Linked DNA regions of Sus scrofa. The protein of the gene in region 1 interacts with the protein of each later gene in a pairwise test. Links are inferred from orthologs where the notes say so. Each region holds a gene or a part of one and is shown in the gene's direction. Other genes may lie near its edges.

The links.
Region 2: the proteins of RALGDS (region 1) and RRAS2 interact in a two-hybrid assay, tested with the Homo sapiens proteins (2 studies listed by BioGRID and IntAct). The link is inferred for Sus scrofa from reciprocal best matches to the Homo sapiens genes RALGDS and RRAS2.
Region 3: the proteins of RALGDS (region 1) and RAP1A interact in a two-hybrid assay, tested with the Homo sapiens proteins (3 studies listed by BioGRID and IntAct). The link is inferred for Sus scrofa from reciprocal best matches to the Homo sapiens genes RALGDS and RAP1A.
Region 4: the proteins of RALGDS (region 1) and RAP1B interact in binary tests that used the Homo sapiens proteins (3 or more experiments, as listed by UniProt). The link is inferred for Sus scrofa from reciprocal best matches to the Homo sapiens genes RALGDS and RAP1B.
Region 5: the proteins of RALGDS (region 1) and KRAS interact in a two-hybrid assay, tested with the Homo sapiens proteins (3 studies listed by BioGRID and IntAct). The link is inferred for Sus scrofa from reciprocal best matches to the Homo sapiens genes RALGDS and KRAS.

What each region holds. Positions count from the first base shown.
Region 1 is NC_010443.5:272,789,978-272,793,492, reverse strand, and holds part of RALGDS (ral guanine nucleotide dissociation stimulator), read left to right. Parts: intron 1-2,218; coding exon 2,219-2,329; intron 2,330-3,479; coding exon 3,480-3,515. UniProt on the Homo sapiens protein: Functions as a guanine nucleotide exchange factor (GEF) activating either RalA or RalB GTPases and plays an important role in intracellular transport. Interacts and acts as an effector molecule for R-Ras, H-Ras, K-Ras, and Rap.
Region 2 is NC_010444.4:44,888,822-44,892,941, forward strand, and holds the start of RRAS2 (ras-related protein R-Ras2), read left to right. Parts: upstream 1-1,314; 5' UTR 1,315-1,597; coding exon 1,598-1,705; intron 1,706-1,843; exon of another isoform or gene 1,844-2,123; intron 2,124-4,120. UniProt on the Homo sapiens protein: GTP-binding protein with GTPase activity, involved in the regulation of MAPK signaling pathway and thereby controlling multiple cellular processes. Regulates craniofacial development.
Region 3 is NC_010446.5:108,688,448-108,691,962, reverse strand, and holds part of RAP1A (ras-related protein Rap-1A), read left to right. Parts: intron 1-798; coding exon 799-867; intron 868-2,935; coding exon 2,936-2,992; intron 2,993-3,515. UniProt on the Homo sapiens protein: Counteracts the mitogenic function of Ras, at least partly because it can interact with Ras GAPs and RAF in a competitive manner. Together with ITGB1BP1, regulates KRIT1 localization to microtubules and membranes.
Region 4 is NC_010447.5:32,908,896-32,912,980, forward strand, and holds the start of RAP1B (ras-related protein Rap-1b), read left to right. Parts: upstream 1-1,285; 5' UTR 1,286-1,502; intron 1,503-4,085. UniProt on the Homo sapiens protein: GTP-binding protein that possesses intrinsic GTPase activity. Contributes to the polarizing activity of KRIT1 and CDH5 in the establishment and maintenance of correct endothelial cell polarity and vascular lumen.
Region 5 is NC_010447.5:48,543,279-48,546,752, forward strand, and holds the end of KRAS (GTPase KRas), read left to right. Parts: intron 1-1,629; coding exon 1,630-1,746; 3' UTR 1,747-2,962; downstream 2,963-3,474. UniProt on the Homo sapiens protein: Ras proteins bind GDP/GTP and possess intrinsic GTPase activity. Plays an important role in the regulation of cell proliferation.

The sequences.
Region 1 (3,515 bases):
TCCGTCCCTGGAAGAGCGGTGGGAGCAGGGAGCAGTGCCCCACGCTGCCACTTGGTGCCCAGGACCTGGCAGCTCTCTCGGAGCCCGCTCCGCTCTTGGCTCTTGTAGTTGGTTTAAATGGCGCCTGCTCTCAGCGCTGCTCTGACGGTCTGGTTTTGTTCCTCCTGCTGCCGCCGCCGTGAAGGGACCGTGACGGGACCGGGGAGGACGGGGTTAGCTCCTTGGGGCTGGAGGAGCCCCCATCTGTGTGACAGGGCGTTGACTCCCCTGGCCCAGCATGTGTGGCTCTCAGCGTCCTGCCCTGCCCCCCACCCGGCTGGCAGAAGGGGCCCCTTGGGGTGGGGGAAGGGCTCGGGGATCACATGACACCCAGGCAGGGCCAGCCAGCTGCTTGGCTGCCAGCGAGGCCCATGGCTCACTGCAGAGCCGCTATTTCAACCCGCTTAGGGATGGCGAGGCCCCCGTGCATTGGCCTGGCCGGGGGCCGGGGGGGCACTTCTGTCCAGCAGGCTTTGATGGAGCCCCGCTGGGAGCCAGGTGCTGGGCGGGCTCCCACGGGGTTCATGTCCAGTGCCCCCTGCTGCCAAACGCTCCAAACCGCTGCCAGCGACTTGGGTGCTTAGGACACTGGCTTCCAGCTGGACAGATGTACCCGGCATCCCCGGGAGAGGACAGGCCTTCCAGGAGGGCCCGCAGCCTTCACAGGAGGCGGTCTGGACCCCTGAGAAGATGCAGGGGGTGGGGGGACAGGGCCCTGGTCTGGCAGGTGGACGGCAGGCTCCCGACATCCCCGCCGCCTCTCCCAGGCAGGGGAGGGATGAGTGAGGCCGGGGAAGAAAGTGAGCATCTGTTAGAGTTTTCCTGCATCAGGAGGAGGAATTTCCCCTCCTCGAAGGGAGGGTTGGACCTCCCCCAGCGTGGGCTGTTGTGCGCTGGGGGGGGGGGGCCCATTGCGGGGGTGCTCTGCCCACGGGTTCCGTGCTAGCTTCCCAGAAATGCCCGGCTTTCTCTGCGGAGGAGGTGAAGGGTCAGGAGCCTGGCGTGATTGCACCGGCTTTCCCGTTGGTACGATGCCCAGGGTGGGAGGGAGGCCTCAGGTCAGAGGAAGTGGCTTTCCGGAGGATGGCCCGGGCCTCCCAGAGCCCTCCCAGCACCCTTGAGGCAGGAGGTAAGAGGCCCAGGCCCCCCGGCCCCTGACCCCAGGGGTGCTGATGGCCCAGGGGGGACAGCCCACAAGACCCTGGGCACCTGGTTCTACTCAGGGGCCCACCTTGGGCCAAGGCTTTAGGGAGGGGCTGTCAGCGGGACCCAGGATGAGTCAGCTCTTTCGCTGGGGCTTCTCTGAGCTCTGTGCCCACCCTGAGTTGGGCAGTGACCTGTGGTCCCAGCTAGTGGCCCTGGCCATGTGACCGATGGCCCTCTGCCATCTGGTGTTCCCACCTCCTCCCTAAACTTTCAATGTCTGTATCTTTACTCCTAGGGACCCCTTTCTGCCCAGGGCCCAGGGAGCAGCCAGATGACCCCCGTGATTCGGGGTCGTGTGGAACCCCAGCCATTAGCCCAGATGGCAGCACCGCTGTCCTTGTGCTGTCCCCGTGCACGTGATGACAGAGGGAACTGGGAATTCCTCTGTTGCTCAAGAGAGCACACGCACGTGAATGAGCAGAAAGGGAAGGAAGTAGCCTTGGTTTGGCCGTCGAGGATGCCCACACCTGCCCCAGACCCAAGGGGCTGACACCAGGGCCAGGGCGGCTGTGGTGCATAGCCTGGCAAATGAGGGTGGGCAGGCTCCCTCCTTGGGGGGCTGGAGCTGCCTAGGTGCCGTTGGCTGAGTCAGGCCCTGGGCTCCCGGGTCTGCTGGGGCTTTGGCGCGGGGGCTCTTCACTCGGCCTCTGTGTGTTTGTCTGAGAAATGGCCACATGGCAGGACTTGTCTTGGGGGGGTGGCAGGAACAGGCTGTGGTGGGGTTGGACCCCCCGTGAGTGCATCTTGCTCGCTCGCAGCCCCAGCGGGCGGGGGTGGGGGCTCGGCGCCTGCCTGCCCCAACAGTAAGCCCCAGCCCCCTAGCTGTCGCCCCATTTCGTCCCGGACCAGAGGGCTCTGTGGCCACTGATCTTCGCCTCATCTGGCGAACAGAAGGTGGCACGGGGGCATCCGCCGGCAGCGCGGTTGGCCAGGCCGTGCCACCCCTACCAACGGCTGGACGCTGTCCTTGCAGAGCTCCACACAGGAGATTGGCGAGGAGCTGGTCAACGGGGTCGTGTACTCCATCTCCCTGCGGAAGGTCCAGGTGCACCACGGAGCCACCAAGGGCCAGCGCTGGCTCGGGGTGAGTGCGGACGCGGGGCGGGAAAGCGCCGTGCCCAGAACCCCTGGCGACTCCCTCCCAGGCTTTCCTGCCTGAGAGCCCCCAGCCCTGCTCCCACTGCCCAGCCCTGGGCCGGGCCAAGTGCACGCGCGCCGTCCACACATTTGCATGAACATCAGAACAGACACTTTCAGGGTTCCCGGGTGGCCTAGTGGTAAAAGGATCTGGGGGTTGTCACCGTAGTGGCTCAGGTCACTGACCTCTGTGCAGTGAGTTTGCTCTCAAAAGAAAAATAACGACACCTTCGTACTATTTTCATTTCATGTTAGGCCAGGATTACGTATGTGTTTTGCCTGAATACGTGGGGTTTTTTTTTTTTTAGTCTTGTAGCCGCACACAGCATATGGAAGCTCCTGGGCCCAAGATCGAACCTGCGCCTCGGCAGTGACCCGAGTTGCTGCAGATTCTTAACCCATTGTGCCACAGCGGGAACTCCGCTGCAGTATGTCTAACACGGCTGCCTTCTGCTGTCCTGAGTAGCCGTCAGTCTGTCCTGCACCTCTGCCACGCCTTATAGCACCACACTTAGTAGGACTTTTTGTTACCCTTAAAGAGCTCAGGCTGCTCTGCACAGACTTCGGCAACTTGCTCTCAAGGAGCACAGCCCGACCCCTCCCTCCAGGTCAGCGCAGAGGGCCTGGCAGGTGCACGACGTTTTTTCGGAAGGCAGGCCAGTTAGCACCCTGAGTCAGCTTTTGCTGCTGGGGACCTTGGCCTGGCTCCTTTCTGTGGCCGTTTCCAAAGTGCTGCTCCGAACAGCCTGCACGTCCTGGGATCCTGCTCCCTCCCACCCCAGCGCGAGCCTCTGTTGTCTCAGCTCTAGAATGGGCAGGTTCGGCCAGGCAGGGCTCGCGGGGGTGACACTCTTGGTGTGACCAGGTGCTGTCATTACTCAGCTCATCAGATGACCTAAGGAGGATTTGTCTGCACCCCTCCTGCAATCCTGGCTTTCATACTGAGCACCTTTTTCTGCTCAGGGGACCCCTCGTGTCTCATCTCCAGCCCAAAGTCACCGAGCCCAGGAGATCCTCTGAGCTCCAGCCCCCCGCCCTCCCAGTGGCCCAGGTGCTGCCGCTGACCTGACCATCCGTCCTGCTTTGTCCCACCCCAGTGTGAAAATGAGTCGGCCCTGAACCTGTATGAGACC
Region 2 (4,120 bases), on another chromosome or scaffold:
TTGAACCCAGACATTCTGTCCCCAGAGCTCACGGTCTCATCTATTACCTTATAATGTCTCTGTATACAGCTGGGATCCTTGTTACATTTGGTTAAACTGCCATACACATAGGTAATCACTTTTCATTTGCAAACACTTTTCATCTACAAGCACACTCCCCCAGCACAATCAAAATCATGTGACACAAGTCTAACCATTTCAGCTTTGACTTTTTTTTTTTTAGCTGCACTTGTGGCATGTTCCTGGGACCGAGAATGAGCCTCAGCCACAGCAGCAACCCAAGCCACTGCAGTGACAATGCCTTAACCTGCTGTATCACAAGGGAACAGCTCTGACTTTTGCATATGTGGTTTGCTTCCCCTGGAATACATTTCTTCCAGTGATTCATCTGTCTACATTATTTGTTCTTCAGGTCTTTTAGGAAGCCTTTGCTGACCACCCAACTCCAGAGTGAGTGCTTCTCCTCCAGAAGAGCATAGAAGCCACATGGTGCCTTTAGTTACAGCACTTATCATTATGCCTGACAATATGCCTGTTGTCCTGGCTGTTTCCCCACTGGACTCTTAGTTCCCTGAGGGCAGGGACATTATTTTGTTTATGAAAGGATTTGTAGCGCTAAGCACAGTGCCTGCAATGTAGTGTGAAAATATGTATAAACTAATCTCCCACACTCATCCCCTTGAATAAAATTACTGCATATTTCTCACATATAGACATAGCCAATAAGACACCCTCCCGTCAGATACAAAATGTGCCACATATACTCTTGTCCACGTGCCCTCAATCACTTGGTTCTGTCTCTGTGACATTCCTCATACAGGGTAACCACCACAAGCCTATCACACACACAATTATTGTGACAGCTCTAATCTTCAATCACTGTCATATACTGTTTTACATACAGTCATGGTCACCATCTGCACTCTCAAAACAGGATATTTGCCCTCCTACAAACTGAGTTAAGATGACAACAGCTTCATTTTTCACACACGCCTTTGCATACTGTATTTTTCATCCACACAATCCCTGACAAACACAATTATGGTTACGCACTGCTTACTGTTTTCTTCCCACTCCCGCTTGACGCCCACTTTTACACTCGTTCTCACACACCCATTCACTCACGCACGCACACGCGTGCACACGTCCACTCACAGTCAAGGGAATGGAAACACAAGTCTTCAGGGACCGAGCCCTCGGTCAGCTCCTGAATATCAGCCTAGGCCAGCGCAGCCCTGCCTCGCTCCGCCCCCTCATGCATATGCAGCACCTCAGCCTGGCGGCCCGGCCCCCAGACGGCCATTTGTAGCGGCGCTGGAGGCTGCGTTCGGCAGGCGCTGCAGAGACGTGTGGAGGAGCGCGCCCCCCGGACGCTGCGACCCTCGCCCCTGCGGTCACCCCGCTTCTCCGCGCCTCCTGCCGGACCTGGCCAGCCTGGGCGCCGCGCTGCCGCCCGGACCGGCCCTCCTGAAGCTCCCGGCGCCGGGGACCCTCGCCCGGCCGCTCGCCCGCAGCCCGCCGGCCGCACACGTCCCCGGAGCCGGGCCTAGGGCGGGCGGCGGCTCGGCGTGGCTGGGCTGGGTTCGGCGGCGTCCCCATGGCCGCGGCCGGCTGGCGGGACGGCTCTGGCCAAGAGAAGTACCGGCTCGTGGTGGTCGGTGGAGGCGGCGTGGGCAAGTCGGCGCTCACCATCCAGTTCATCCAGGTACCTGGAACGGGCCTGCCGGGGGCGCCGGGGCGGCGGCGGGCGGGGGCTTGCTCTACCTGTGGCGGGGCGGCAGCGGGGACCCCGCCCGGAGGCGCCGAGCGGGCTGGGGGCGGGCGGGCAGGGGGGCGCGGGGCCGGCTCTGCCTTTCTGCACTGCGGTCTGGGCGCCCGGCTCCTGCCTGCTGGGCGCCCTGCTTGGCGTCGGGGGAGTCGGGCTTCTCAGGAATGTGTCCGGGAGGGCGGAGCTGGGAGGGTAGCGCAGATCCACCTTATCGCTCCGGCGTGGCCCGAGCCCTTCGGGAGAGGTAGCGCCGTAGCACCGGGTTTCCTGCCCCGAAGTCGGGGCGCCGGGCTTAGGGCGTGGGGCTGGAGCCCCGCGCTCTGGGTTTCCAGCCGCCCCGGCCGCCTCCTGCACGGTGGGTGCGATCGCGGAGGCAACTTGGCTGCGGCTCCGCGTGGTGTTTGGGCTTCTCCGCGCACGCTGAGCGGGGGCTGCCCGCTTCTAGCCGAGTGTTTTCTCTTTGTGTGTTTGTGCATTTCTTTTAAGTAGTCTCTTAGGTAATGTGTCTGGGTGGGAGTGTGTAATAATGCCCCAGGGAAATGGTGGCCTCGAGGAAGTTAAGAATGTTCTCCGATAGGGCTGAGACCATTTCCTAGGAATTCCTGGTGCCTTCCTGCTTCTCGCTGTGCCAAGGTGAAGTTTAGGGTGGGCCAGGCTAGGAGATGACCGACCGACCGAGTCGCGTGTTCCGTGTCTGTTCCTATCGTTCTCTCCTCCACTCCCAACCCTCTCTGGTAGTTGGAGGCGGAAAGCCAGGGTTGTAAAGGAAGGGGAGATGGAATTCTTGATTCTTAGGCTTTGCTCTTGGTAGGAGGTTTGCGTGATCTCTTTTTGAGACTGGTAAAAAGAGAAACCTACATGTCTTTCTGCTTTTGTCAACCTGAAAGGTGTGGCATGTGCTGGGAGAGAATGAAAGTACTGCGTTATAACAGGTAACAAAGATACTCTCAATATATATGAAGAGTATTGTTAAGATGGTTTGATGAAATATTTGTTTTACCCATTGTTTTCAGTTGGGGTACCTGAATAGCTTATTTCGTTTCGCTTATATTGACATTAAAATACAAAGTACTGTAGCATAAATGTAGCATAAAACCTTTCACATTGACTAAATGAACAATAATTGCTGCTATACTATTTCAGGGTATTAAAAACTGCTGCTAAAACCTTTGTATCCCGGAAGAGGAGATGTTTATGTATAATGAACATTTACAGTATGCTCATTAGTGGGTTAAGAAAATCACACTAAGAGGTGAGATTGGTTTTAGTTTAGCAGGCTGACAGAATCAGGGATGCCGTCATGTTGCTATTTCCCCTAGGGCCAAGAGAGACTTTAACTGATAGCAAAGCAAAACAATTTATAGCTGATAGCAAAGCAAAAACAATTTATAGCTAACTCTTTCTTTGGGGACGTGTGGGATGTTGGTGAGGAGTGAGAGAATAATCCTGGGTTCCAGTATTAATAAAGAGTGTTAGCTAAAAGACTTCAACCACAAATATTTCTTGAGTTTTTTGGGGGGAGGGGCCATCTGAATGCATTTGAACCTGCAAGTTAATTATTAAGGTATTGAAGCCTTTTGTTTTTGGAAATATTATTAGAAACCATGAAAATAACTTCATTGCTAATGATTTTCTAGAATTCATTTGTTTTAAGAAACACCTCTTTTATGACTAGACATGTACTTAGATGATCTAAAAGAAGTAAAGGAGGCATGTATGCATGAGTCATGTACTTACAGCTAGAGAACATTGAACCTTAATTTTCTTTTCAGTGAAATGGGTCTGATCACACATTCTTCATAATCCTTTAAATTGCGGGAACTTCTTTAGTCTTGTATCTAGTATGTAGTATGTGCTCCATTAGCGGTGGCTGTATGTACACTTCTGTAACATAAATGCAAAGGATCTTCAGGATTGGGAAAAGTCAGTTTGGGAAGGATTGAGAAAAGTTTTGTGAAGACGAGATGGTGGAAAGAGGGGGCATGTCTTATATGAGTGGGAGTAGTGGGGGAGTAGTATGGCAGCTTGGAGAGAGGAGGCAGGAAAGGAGGGGTGTGGGATAGGCCAGTGAAAAGGTGGAACTGAGACCCTGACTTTGAGGAGGCTCTCTGGAGAGGTAGGAGCTAGACCTGGATCAACTCTCAGCTCTACCACGTGCTGCATGTGTCATCTTACCCAAATTAATCTCTCCCTACCTTAGTTTTGCCCATCTGTGAACTGGGAAAATACAAAGTACCACATACAGTTGTGAAAATTTAAATGAGTTAACATAGGTTCAGAGCCCAGAACAATGTCTAGTGCATAGTAAGGCTACAAACATTATTAATTGTTGTTACTATATTAATCTTAGCT
Region 3 (3,515 bases), on another chromosome or scaffold:
AAAGCTTGCTATCTTCAGGTTAATCTATTTAGCTCAAGCTAAAATAGTGCATTTATATTCCTCTGGCTAATTGTAGTGTGGATGACCTCAGGCCACATTTTTACCCTTGCTTTTAGGCAGTGATGTGCCAGCTGTTCAGGAAATATCTCGCAACTACCTTCTGTCCTTCTTTTCATTTACGGAATGACAAAATATCTAGTCTTATAGAAATTTAAGAGATAAAAGTAGATGATCTGAAAAAGATGGGTGTATAGTGTCTTCCAATGAAAAGAACAAGGGTTTGAAATCAGGAAGGGATACTTTTGAATTTCAGCTGGCAAATCAGAAAAACTTGATTTTCCCCCACAATTAGAAAGGCTGTTTGAAGACTGTTTAAAATTTACAGTCTCTCCTTTGAGGGCATAAGATAAAAATTGCTACAGATTCATAAAGGAGTAATAAGACTTTAAATACTGATAAATTTTCACATTTTAATAAATTAGAATCCATATCCTTATATGTATCTTATTTGTATCTTCATTGTACTTTGAAACTTAATGTAGTAATTATTTTAACAGTGTAATGTCAGCAGCAGCATTGCTGACAGTTTTTAACACAACCACTTCCTTTCCTAAGTATACTCTTAATTATGAATGTATCCTTATATTGAAAAATAATGATACTTTACAATTTGCATTTTTACCAGAGTTTTCACATAATTTCATTTAATCGTTGCGATTTTGCAAGGTTAAGTAACATTTAAGAGGGGCTGATTTTTCTTTTAAGTCCTTAACTTTTGTCTGCTTTTTTTTTTTTTAGACCGTTCAATTTGTTCAGGGAATTTTTGTGGAAAAATATGACCCAACGATAGAAGATTCCTACAGAAAGGTAAAATGTGAAACGTGTATGCTCATGCTTACAAGTAGTTTCTTATGACTTTAAAACTTGATCCCTGGAATTGCTTTTTTAAAAATAGTTCTGAGAAATGACCCAATGTTCTGTATCTGTTTTTAAAAGTTTCACCAAGACGTGGTATTTTTCGTAGAATATTGCTTAGCTAAAGAGAGCTCCACATTCTCTCGCTGATTAATGTAATCAGTCCTTTAATATACCCATTTTCTTGGTGGCCTTTTTTTTTAATATAGAAAAATTGCATATAAATAGTAGGTATATTTTTGATGACTCTTTGTGTGAACTAAAATTAAGATCACTTTATACTTGAGGTTATCCAGTGACTGAAAGTTATTTTTGTTTAATTATATAATAACTTTAAAGATATTTCACCTTTAGACTATAAAAAATTAGACAGTTGGAGTCTGTGTAATAATTTAGTGTAGATACATGGCCTCATACATTTGTCTTAACCTGTAGCATGTACAACATCAAGAGTAAAACTGCAGACTATGGACTTTGCATGATAATGGTGCAAATGCAGGTTCACTGATTTTCACAAATGTACCACTTTGGTGCAGGATGCCGATGGTGGGGGAGGCTAGCGGGGAACAGGAAAATGGTATGTGGGAACTCTACTTTTTCTGCTGTTTTGCTGTGAACCTAAAACTGCTTTCTAAAAAGTAAAGTTTGTTTAAAAGGAAAAGAAATTTAAGTAGTTGGTCTTGACAAAAAAATACTGTTCTATTTAATTAGAAAACTAGCTGGAATTGTGGAGAATTTTCAAGTCTTTATTTCCCAAGTATGGTGGGGGCAGCGGTAGGGAGGGAGACAGTGTTGTAAGAAAGCCTAGTAGCCAACGATACATTAAAGAAAAAAAAAAAAAAAAAGATTAAACCTCCCTTCCAACAAATGAGAAAGAATTGCTTTGTTGGATGTTAAAATTTACCTTAAATAGTGCTATAATTTCTGTTGAATTAAATTCTTCAAGCCTACCGGAATAGCAGTTTCATTATCTGTAAATTGGAAACCAAATGGTGGTACATTGAGAAACCACAGAGTGAATTCATTATTCGTTGAACATACGCATTCACAGAGAGGGCAGATTATTATCACTTTAGTCCCGTAAACAATGGAACAGTGGAGTTTGGGACTCTACCCATCGTGCTCCTCATCAATCCCTGATGTGACACAGAAGCAGAGTTTAAAATAGTCCTTAGGTCAGTATGTCTATTTTTAGAAGACAGTGTTGCATTACTGAAATTTCCCCCAAATCAGTTGCTGGTTAAAGCATTAACTGCAAACAAAGATCTGTACCTTGAATGTCAAAGATTTTACACTTTTCTAAATCCCTTCTTTATTAAAAAATGTCCACACGGTTAATAGTTGATACTTGCTTTAGGCCAACCTTCTCTTCTGTGCAACACTGGGAAAGTAGAACCCAGTATCTAAAAGTTTGCCTTATGCACACAGTTTTTCCAAAGACGTAGAAGTCTTGAGAGCTGTAGGAGTTCAGTGTTATTCTGTGTTCCCTTTTAACTCTTAAATTAATGCTCCTGTGTGTTAAATTTGGGGCATTGTTTAGTAAAACTCTAACAGCTTGAATGTGGTAAGTTGGCAAAGTTTTCTTTACCCTCCCAGTCTTGGCTATATTTTGAACTATTTAGTACTTGTGTGCTTTGTTTTGAAGAGAATATAAATATACATACTTTATCCATTTTTCCCCTGTTAGAATTATACCTGTTGGTTATAGTTTTTCTTAAATTACAGGGTATGACCGTTGCCTTTTAATAACAACACAAATCAGTACTCAGTGTTCATAGTGGTCAGAAAATGCCTAAACTCAGCATCAGCAGTCCTGGCTTTGTAGTATTAATAGAATGTGTTTGAGACCTCCTGTTCTTTATTGTAGCACCAAGTTAGATCTCCACCGATACAGGAAACTGCTAGAGAAAGGCTTTGTAGTTGTTAATAGGTACTTTGAGCAAAGAAGTGGGAGGAAAACAGACTGACATTTTGATGTTACTTTTTCATCCCCCTCCACCCCCGCACCCTACCCCAACAGCAAGTTGAAGTAGACTGCCAACAGTGTATGCTCGAAATCCTGGATACAGCGGGAACGGTAAGCATGTTTTCTCTTTTTGTGATCGATTTTAATTTGTGAATAGGTTTTTGTCGCCTGAACGGTTCCTCTGAGTAAAAGCATTTATTCTGATTAAGAACTTGGTCTCTGTGTAGGACTTCTTAAATTTTCTTATGTGGGTGGCACTATCTATGATGTACTTAATGCTCACATATCAGTGTTAGATGTTGAGCTCATCTGCAGAATCTGTGTGTTGAATTTCTTTTCCCTGTATTGAGGTAAAAATTGTGCTATTACTGCTTTCTAAGAAAAGAAAAAAAAAGGCATTTTAAATTCAGATCACGGTCATTCATTTTTTTAAAAATTGGTTTAGTAGCACTTTTAACATCTCAAGGTTTATTAGCATTTTAACATCTCTGGTGACAGATATGTATTTCTGACCAAAAGTCTTTAGGATTATTTTGAGCCTAATTTTTCACATCCTTAAATGAGTATAATGACGTTAGTACATTATAGGGTGCTTGTAGTGATCAAATGCAATAGTGATTATAAATCACTTGGC
Region 4 (4,085 bases), on another chromosome or scaffold:
CTCAGTGGTTAATGAATCCAACTAGGAACCATGAGGTTGCAGGTTTGGTCCCTGGCCTTGCTCAGTGGGTTAGGGATCTGGCGTTGCCCTGAGCTGTGCTGTAGGTTGCAGACGCGGCTCAGATCTGGCATTGCTGTGGCTCTGGTGTGGGCCAGCGGCTACAGCTCTGATTAGACCGCTAGCCTGGGACCCTCCGTATGTCGCAGGAGTGGACCTAGGAAAGGCAAAAAGACAAAAAAAAAAGAAAAAAGTTTTTCTAAGGAAAGAGAAATTACCGAAATATGTAACATATTCAATTAACCTAAATTGTGAAACACCTAGAAAGCACTTACATACAGAAAACTTAGGATAATTATAATTCATTTTTAATTATTCCTTTAACTTAGTTTTCAATTACTAGCATTTTTTTTTTCTTCTTAGGGCCATACCTTATAACAAGGCAGTTAAACTATGAACTAAGCAAAAGTCTTTAATGACCCTCTCACTCCCTACTTTTCCCTGCACTTTGCTCTCTCTGAATCTTTTTGCCCTTCAAAACTTAGTTTCATAAAAAAGCTAATACCTTTTATAAAGGGTAGTTCTAATTTTAGCCTTTTCTCTAATAATGGTAAATTCTCTTAAGTTACTGCCTTTTTTAGAACAAGGCATTTTGGGAACAGAAAGTGCTTTCTGTTGCCCAGTAAATACATCATAAACCTACCTGTGGGTAACCCTTTAAAGTGCCAGAGTCATGTATTTATGCTATTTAACTCAGATAAATAGCTGATTTAGGTACAGAGTACAAAGTTGTTTGGCCTCATAGGTTAGTTAACTCCGTTTGGCAGGGTAATTTGGAAAGAGTTGTCCTGGGTTAAGACACCGGTAGAAAAGATACTTGACAATTCAAGAGAAACCATTTCAAGAATGAAAAAGACTGTGCCCTAGCCTAGGAGCCTTCACCGGACCTCTGGGTGTGGAAACTGCTCCTTGCTACTTTTCCAGCTACTTTCCCCAGCACAAAGGAATAAGCGACCACCAACTGGTAGTGTTGGCGACTGGATTACAGTTTGCTTTAGATGCACCTTTTGAGTTTCGGAGGGTTTCTAAGCCCCTCGCAGCAACGTAACCCGCTAGGGTCTAGGAAGCCAAAGCAAGGCCGACGGGGCGGTGCGGAACAGAGAGAAACGCCGCTGAGAAAATGCCGCGAAGGGCGCCGCGCGCGTCCGGTTTGCGCTGCGGCGCCGCGGAAGACTCCGCCCCTCGGCTCCCCTCGCCCCGCCCTAGGCCCCGCCCCTTTCCGGGCCGCGCTCCCGCGCGCCCCGCCCGCGGACGGAAGCGAGAGCGAGGCTGAACGCCTGACGTCAAGGCGACACCGCCAAACCTCGCCCAGAGTCAGGCGTGTAAACCAGCCGGAGCGGCGGCGGCGGCAGCGGCAGCAGCAGGACCGCCGTGGCGCCGGGAGCAGCGACCCGGAGGGAACGCGAGGCGACGCTGGCTGCGGCGACCCGGTGACAGCGTGAGAGGTTAGCATAGTGCGTGCGTGGCTGCAGAGGGGAGCGGCAGCGCGAGGCGGGGGCCGGGCGCCGGCTAAGGGGAGCGGGTGGGGTGCGGCGCGGGCCGGGCGGGGCGCGCGCGGCGGTCAGGGGGCCCGGGCGGCGGCGGCGATGGCAGCCTCGGCGCGCGGCAGGTGGTGCGAGGGCCCGGCGCCGTGCGGGTGAGGGCGCTGCCTCCCAGGCCGGTGGGGACCAGCCGCCGCGGCCGCCGCGGGGAATCAGCGCGCTTTGCGGAAGGGGTCAAATGTCTGAAATATGGCGGAGGAAGTGAGAGCCCGAGGACCCCCCCACCCGCCTGCTCCCTCCTGCCCGCAGCCGCCGCAGCCTCTCCCACTGCCCGCCGTTCCGTACAGCTCCCCGGAAGACTCGTCCCCCCGCCCCTGGCCCCCTCGCTCGCCGTCTCCGTTCCTTCCCGGGTGTGAGTGCAAGTTAGAACGGAAACCAGAAAGTTGTCCTTTGCGAAGACCCAGCTTCCCCTAGTCCCGAGCAGGGGTGAGGAGCGTTCTGGGGAAACCACTCTCCGACGCCCTGCGGGCTTGAGCTTGACAGGGGAAAAGTTTGCCTGAAACGGGGTTGGCTTGCTCCATTTGTTGCGGGAAGTGGCAGGAGGAAGGCAGCGGAGGGAGCCCCACCTAGTCTGGCAGCAGCCACCGCGTAGAGAAAAACTGTTAAAGGGGCCTTTCCCTTCGTCAGCAAGAGGAAATCTCTTTCTCTTACAGAGGGAGAGAAAATCCAGGAAGTTTGTCCTCTTTTTCGCCATCTCGATGTGTCTAATTCTAAAACTGTCAGCGCCATGAATCTTTTAAAACTATTCCCAGAGAATCGGGCCATCTGAATTTTTCTTCCGAAAAAAACCGATGGCTTTTAGAGAAAAGATCATCCTTGGTGAATTTAAGCAGACGATTCGTTTCCCCTTTGCCTGTTCCCCCACCCCCTTTTATTAGTTTAGAACATTTTTGTTCTGCAGTTCTATGTTACTGTAAGGGGAAATCTCGTTTTTAATGGGGTAGAAGTTGACACTAAATGGAGATTGTGATTTTAATATTTTTCAATTGATTCAGCCTGATTAGATTTTTGTTTTGCTAGTAGCATAACATCTAATACAGAACAAGTGCTCATAACTTAAAGTTCCCAACTTGTAACTTCATTTTTAACCCTCTTTTTTTGCAATTATAGTGCTGCTTGTACTTGACAAACCTTATCTTAGCAAGAAGTAACATAAAAAAGGGAGATGTTCATTTAACTTCAAGCTCCTTTGGCTTCTAAAAGCTGATCCTTGAATAGTATTTGAGTCATAATGGAGTCATGGGACTTTGTAAGTTAAGGCCGGAAAAGACTATTTAGATCATCCAGTCCCACCCTCTCATTTTACAGTGGAGGAAACTGAGGCCTAGAAAAGATAAGGTAACTAGTCAGTGGTCTTGCTGACTTTTAGGACTGTAGTCTGTCCATTATAGAGAATTTGGAGGGAAAAAAATGACATTTTTTATATGAATTACCTTTTCCAGAGGATAGTAGTCCCATCATACTCCAAAAAGAGGGGCACCTTACTTAGTCAAACAGTGTGGAAGGACCATTTGGTTGTTTCATTACCAGGTTTTAAGAGAGGAAATTGATACCCAGAATGATTAAATAATTTTGAGAACACAGAGCCCTGAATGATAGCTGGTCTTATTTGAGCCCATCCAAGCTTTTGATCTCAGCACTACGAAAAAAAGTGTTTTCACTTGCATTTTCTTTTTGTCATTCATAATAAATTGTGAGGCTGCCTTATCTGAAGAAGGCTAAAAGTAAATCTTTGAAACACATGTATCCAGTTTGGTTTTAATGTGCCAGGTATGAGAATACAACTGAAGAACCCAGTAATAAGCTGAATTAACTTTTAAATATGGTATGGATTCATGAAAATGATTGCTCATCTTTCTGCCCCCTACCACCCTCTCTTTCTACAAGTATCACTTCCTACCTTCTGTTATTATTATGTGTTTTTGTTATCCCTCTAAATTGTAAATTCCGTGGACAGGATATGTTCTTTGTATGCTCCAAAACACTGACGTGGTACCTTGCACTAAGACAGTACCAGTTTGTTAAATGTAAGTGCCATGAGGGTAGGGTCTTGATCCATTTCATTCCCTACTGTATCTTAGTTCCTAGAACCTTGCCTGTACACCTGGTATTTAGCATTTAGATTTAGGGATTACCTGTAACAAACATTTAAAGAGATGATGTTTGAAGAGAACTTTGTATTCATGATTGGTAGAAGCCTGTATAGAAACTGATAACATGGTAACTAATTTTACATGTTGTCACAAATACATAGTCTTAAGTTTTGGATGAGACGCTGTCTGTATTCAGTTTTCTCTGACTTTGGTTGTAGATATTTGATCAACATTTGTTAAGTGAAATTAAGTAGGTAAACTGGATCTGATACAAAAAGAACTTGGCTGATTTTGCAAAGGTGTCATTTTATTTTCATCAGTGTAAATAGGCAGTTTTATTATTGAATATCAGGATCTTACTGGTATGCATGTATCATTTTCCCAAAGACTTAAT
Region 5 (3,474 bases), on another chromosome or scaffold:
TTTCCTCTCTCATTTGGGTGAAACAGAAGCATATGTTATACCAGTAATATCACAAAGTGGGAACATCAGTGAGTGCAGTTTGGGGGCTTTACTGGGGACTTTTAGCCACTAGCATTTAGACCAGTAATGCTAGTTTTTATCCTACTACTGCTGTTGTTTAAATGTTAGCAAGCTTCTCATTCCCACTGTTTAACTCTTTTAAAATATTGGCAATACTTTTCTAAATTTTAGATCTGTTGTGAAAATAACTTAAATTGCTTGAATGAAAATGGCCTGAATTAATTTTGCTACTATTGTGAAATATTAATTATAGAAGATCTTAGCAGTACAGTGAAGGAGAAATCATATTGCTGTTGAATTTTCAAATTTTAAACTACCCTCAAGATAATAACAAGTGTGGTTATATTAATATTTAACAGAGGTTAAAAAATGGATAAAAACCCAGTTTTCATTGTTCTTAAAGTGGCTTGATTTATACAACTTTGTTGTGTATTTATTTCTAAGACTCCCTCTAGTGTCTAGGTTTGAAAACATTAGGTTAACAGGCTTCTTTTGATAGTACCACTCAGTTGAACGGATTTTAAAATACACAGATGATCGTATTTTTTCTTTAATTTTTTACTTTTATATTTAATTTGCTTTTTAATAGAGATATGACAAGAATTGACTTCTGTATAGATCTTGTGTAATTCAGTATTTCAGGGTTAAAATCTTATGTCCTGCTGCCATTTTCAGAGTGCCAATTTTCATGTTCTGTTTGAATGATTAGGTTGAAAATTATTCTGACTTGAAATCACTTTCAGCTTTTATTGACTTGGTTACTTTGCTTTGATCACAAATAGATATAGGCTAAAATGACCAAGTAGAAATTTCTCTGAAGAGACAGTGTTTTGACTTAAATGGCAAACTTTAAACAGAAACTAAAAACCAGTATATTTAAAATATCTTCTCCAAATCAGCAGACTACAGCACCATTTAAATGATTTAGCTTATTTATGCACAAATCGAGGTATTACATTCTTCAAAGTAGTGTGCCTTGTGTTGTGGTCACTTTCAGTTTCCTTCTCATAAGTATATGAATTGAAACTAATGCCTTAATATTATTTGAAAACTGAAAGTATATTCTGCTACTGTTTACTTCTTGGTAGTTATTTAAATCTAATGGATTTAAGTGTTAAGCCAAGAGCTCAAATATCACAGTGAAAACAGTATATACTGCATGGCTTCTATCAGATGTCTAAACACTCAGGGATGATTAAGTATAAATACATATTCACGCATATACACAATTACATTTGAATTTTGGTGATGAGGTGTGCCAGTATGGAAAGATCGGTACAAATTAAATTCTGGGAAAAGGTCATGTGTTAAGCATATGTAAGATTCTGTGCTATTAATTTTCAGTGCCTTTTGTGAAAATCAGTGTTCCCATTTATGTTAACAAAATACCCACGAAGACATTTAAGAATCCTATAAGTCTGATATATATTTAGTTGCCTGAAGAGATATATTAAGTATCCTTATTCTTTTCAAGTATTAATGTTTCTATTAGTAATATATCCTTTCTGTTATCTGTATACCTCAAACTATCACATACATGCACATTTTAATACTTGTTTTGTGTTTCAGGGTGTTGACGATGCCTTCTATACATTAGTTCGAGAAATTCGAAAACATAAAGAAAAGATGAGCAAAGATGGTAAAAAGAAGAAAAAGAAGTCAAAGACAAAGTGTATAATTATGTAAATACAATTTGTACTTTTTTCTTAAGGCATACTTAAGTAAAAGTGGTAATTTTTGTACATTACACTAAATTATTAGCATTTGTTTTAGCATTACCTAATTTTCTTTCTGCTCCATCCATACTGTTAGCTTTTATCTTGAATGCTTATTTTAAAATGACAGTGGAAACTTTTTTTCCTCTAAGTGCCAGTATTCCCTGAGTTTTGGTTTTTGAACTAGCAATGCCTGTGAAAAAGAAACTGAACACCTGAGATTTCTGTCTTGGGGTTTTTGGTGCATGCAGTCAATTACTTCCTATTTTTCTTACCAATTGTGGACTTTAGTGTGAAACAAATTAATGAACCTTTCAAATCATCCCTAGTCTATGTTTTATCTGGTCACATACATGGATCAATTACTAATTATAACTTCACTTGGAATTTCAAGATTGGTTTTATTGAAACATTGAGGGAACACGAATTTATGGACTTCCTATAGATTCATCTCGTATGCATCATGTCCTGTAGTTTCAGTTACCCTTGTATGAATGTAAGGTTACACTGTTCACAAAGGTTTTCTTCTTTCCACTGCTATTTGTCATGGTCATGTTTCCAAAAATATTATATTTTTTCTATAAAAAGGGAAAAAATGGAAAAAAATACAAGGCAATGGAAAATACTAAAAGGCCATTTACTTTCTGCATTAGATAAATTCCTATAATACTCTGAATAGCTTCTCCTGTTAAGGAAGACCCAGTATGTAATGAGGATTATAATAACCATTTTGGGGCTATATTTACATGCTACTAAATTTTTGTAATGATTGAAAAAAATTTAACATGTATAAAAAATTTTCATAGGAATTAAATATAGTCTCCCTGTGTCAGATTGCTCTTTCTTAGCATAACTTTAAATCTTTTCTTGAACTTCAGTCTTTGAAAGTAGTTTTAATTCTACTGATAGTGATGTTAAAGATTATTTGGGCCAGTTAGCTTAGTAGGTTACAAAGGCCAGGCTTTGTGTGAACCTTTGAGCGCCACTGAGAGCTTCACAGGTGGACTGCATTCCTGTGATCCTCCAGTGTTGTTATGCCTGGGCTGGTCAGGAATGGCGACTAGGAGAGAGTTTGGTTAGCTCAGCAAGGTACATTGTCACCATGTGGTAGTCCTACTCAGGAACATCACTTTTGTTGAAATTAAAAAAAAAAAAAAAAAAAGAACTTTAAAAAAAAACATTATTTTTAATGAGATTTTAGGGTGGGGTAGCAAGATTTTAATTTTTTTTAAATGAAATGAAAAAGTTTCAAAATCTTGAGTATTGGCTAGTTCTCTTAACACTGGCTAAAGTAACATTTCATAAACACTTTACAAGTCTGGTCCATATTTAAGAATACCTGATGCTTATAAAATAGATAATAATTAATGGTAACAAAATGATTCTTTCAGTGCATTTAACATGTTAACTTATTTTAAAATATTTGAAGTGAGATGGTTGTGTTGAGGTGAAAATATCACTGGACAAGGAGGAAGGTGACTTAGATTCTAGTTTTGTGTCTTTTACAATTTGGGGCAAATCACTTACTCTCCATTTTTTCATGCTTAAAAGGCATCTCAAAGGCTGTATCTAGCATTACAACTATGTGATTTACATTTACTTTACATAAGGCTATACCTATTTGTCAGTCTCAGCACAATCTGTAACTTTTCACCTGTGTCATCACCTTCAGTGCCAGCCTTAGGCAAAATTGTGCAAG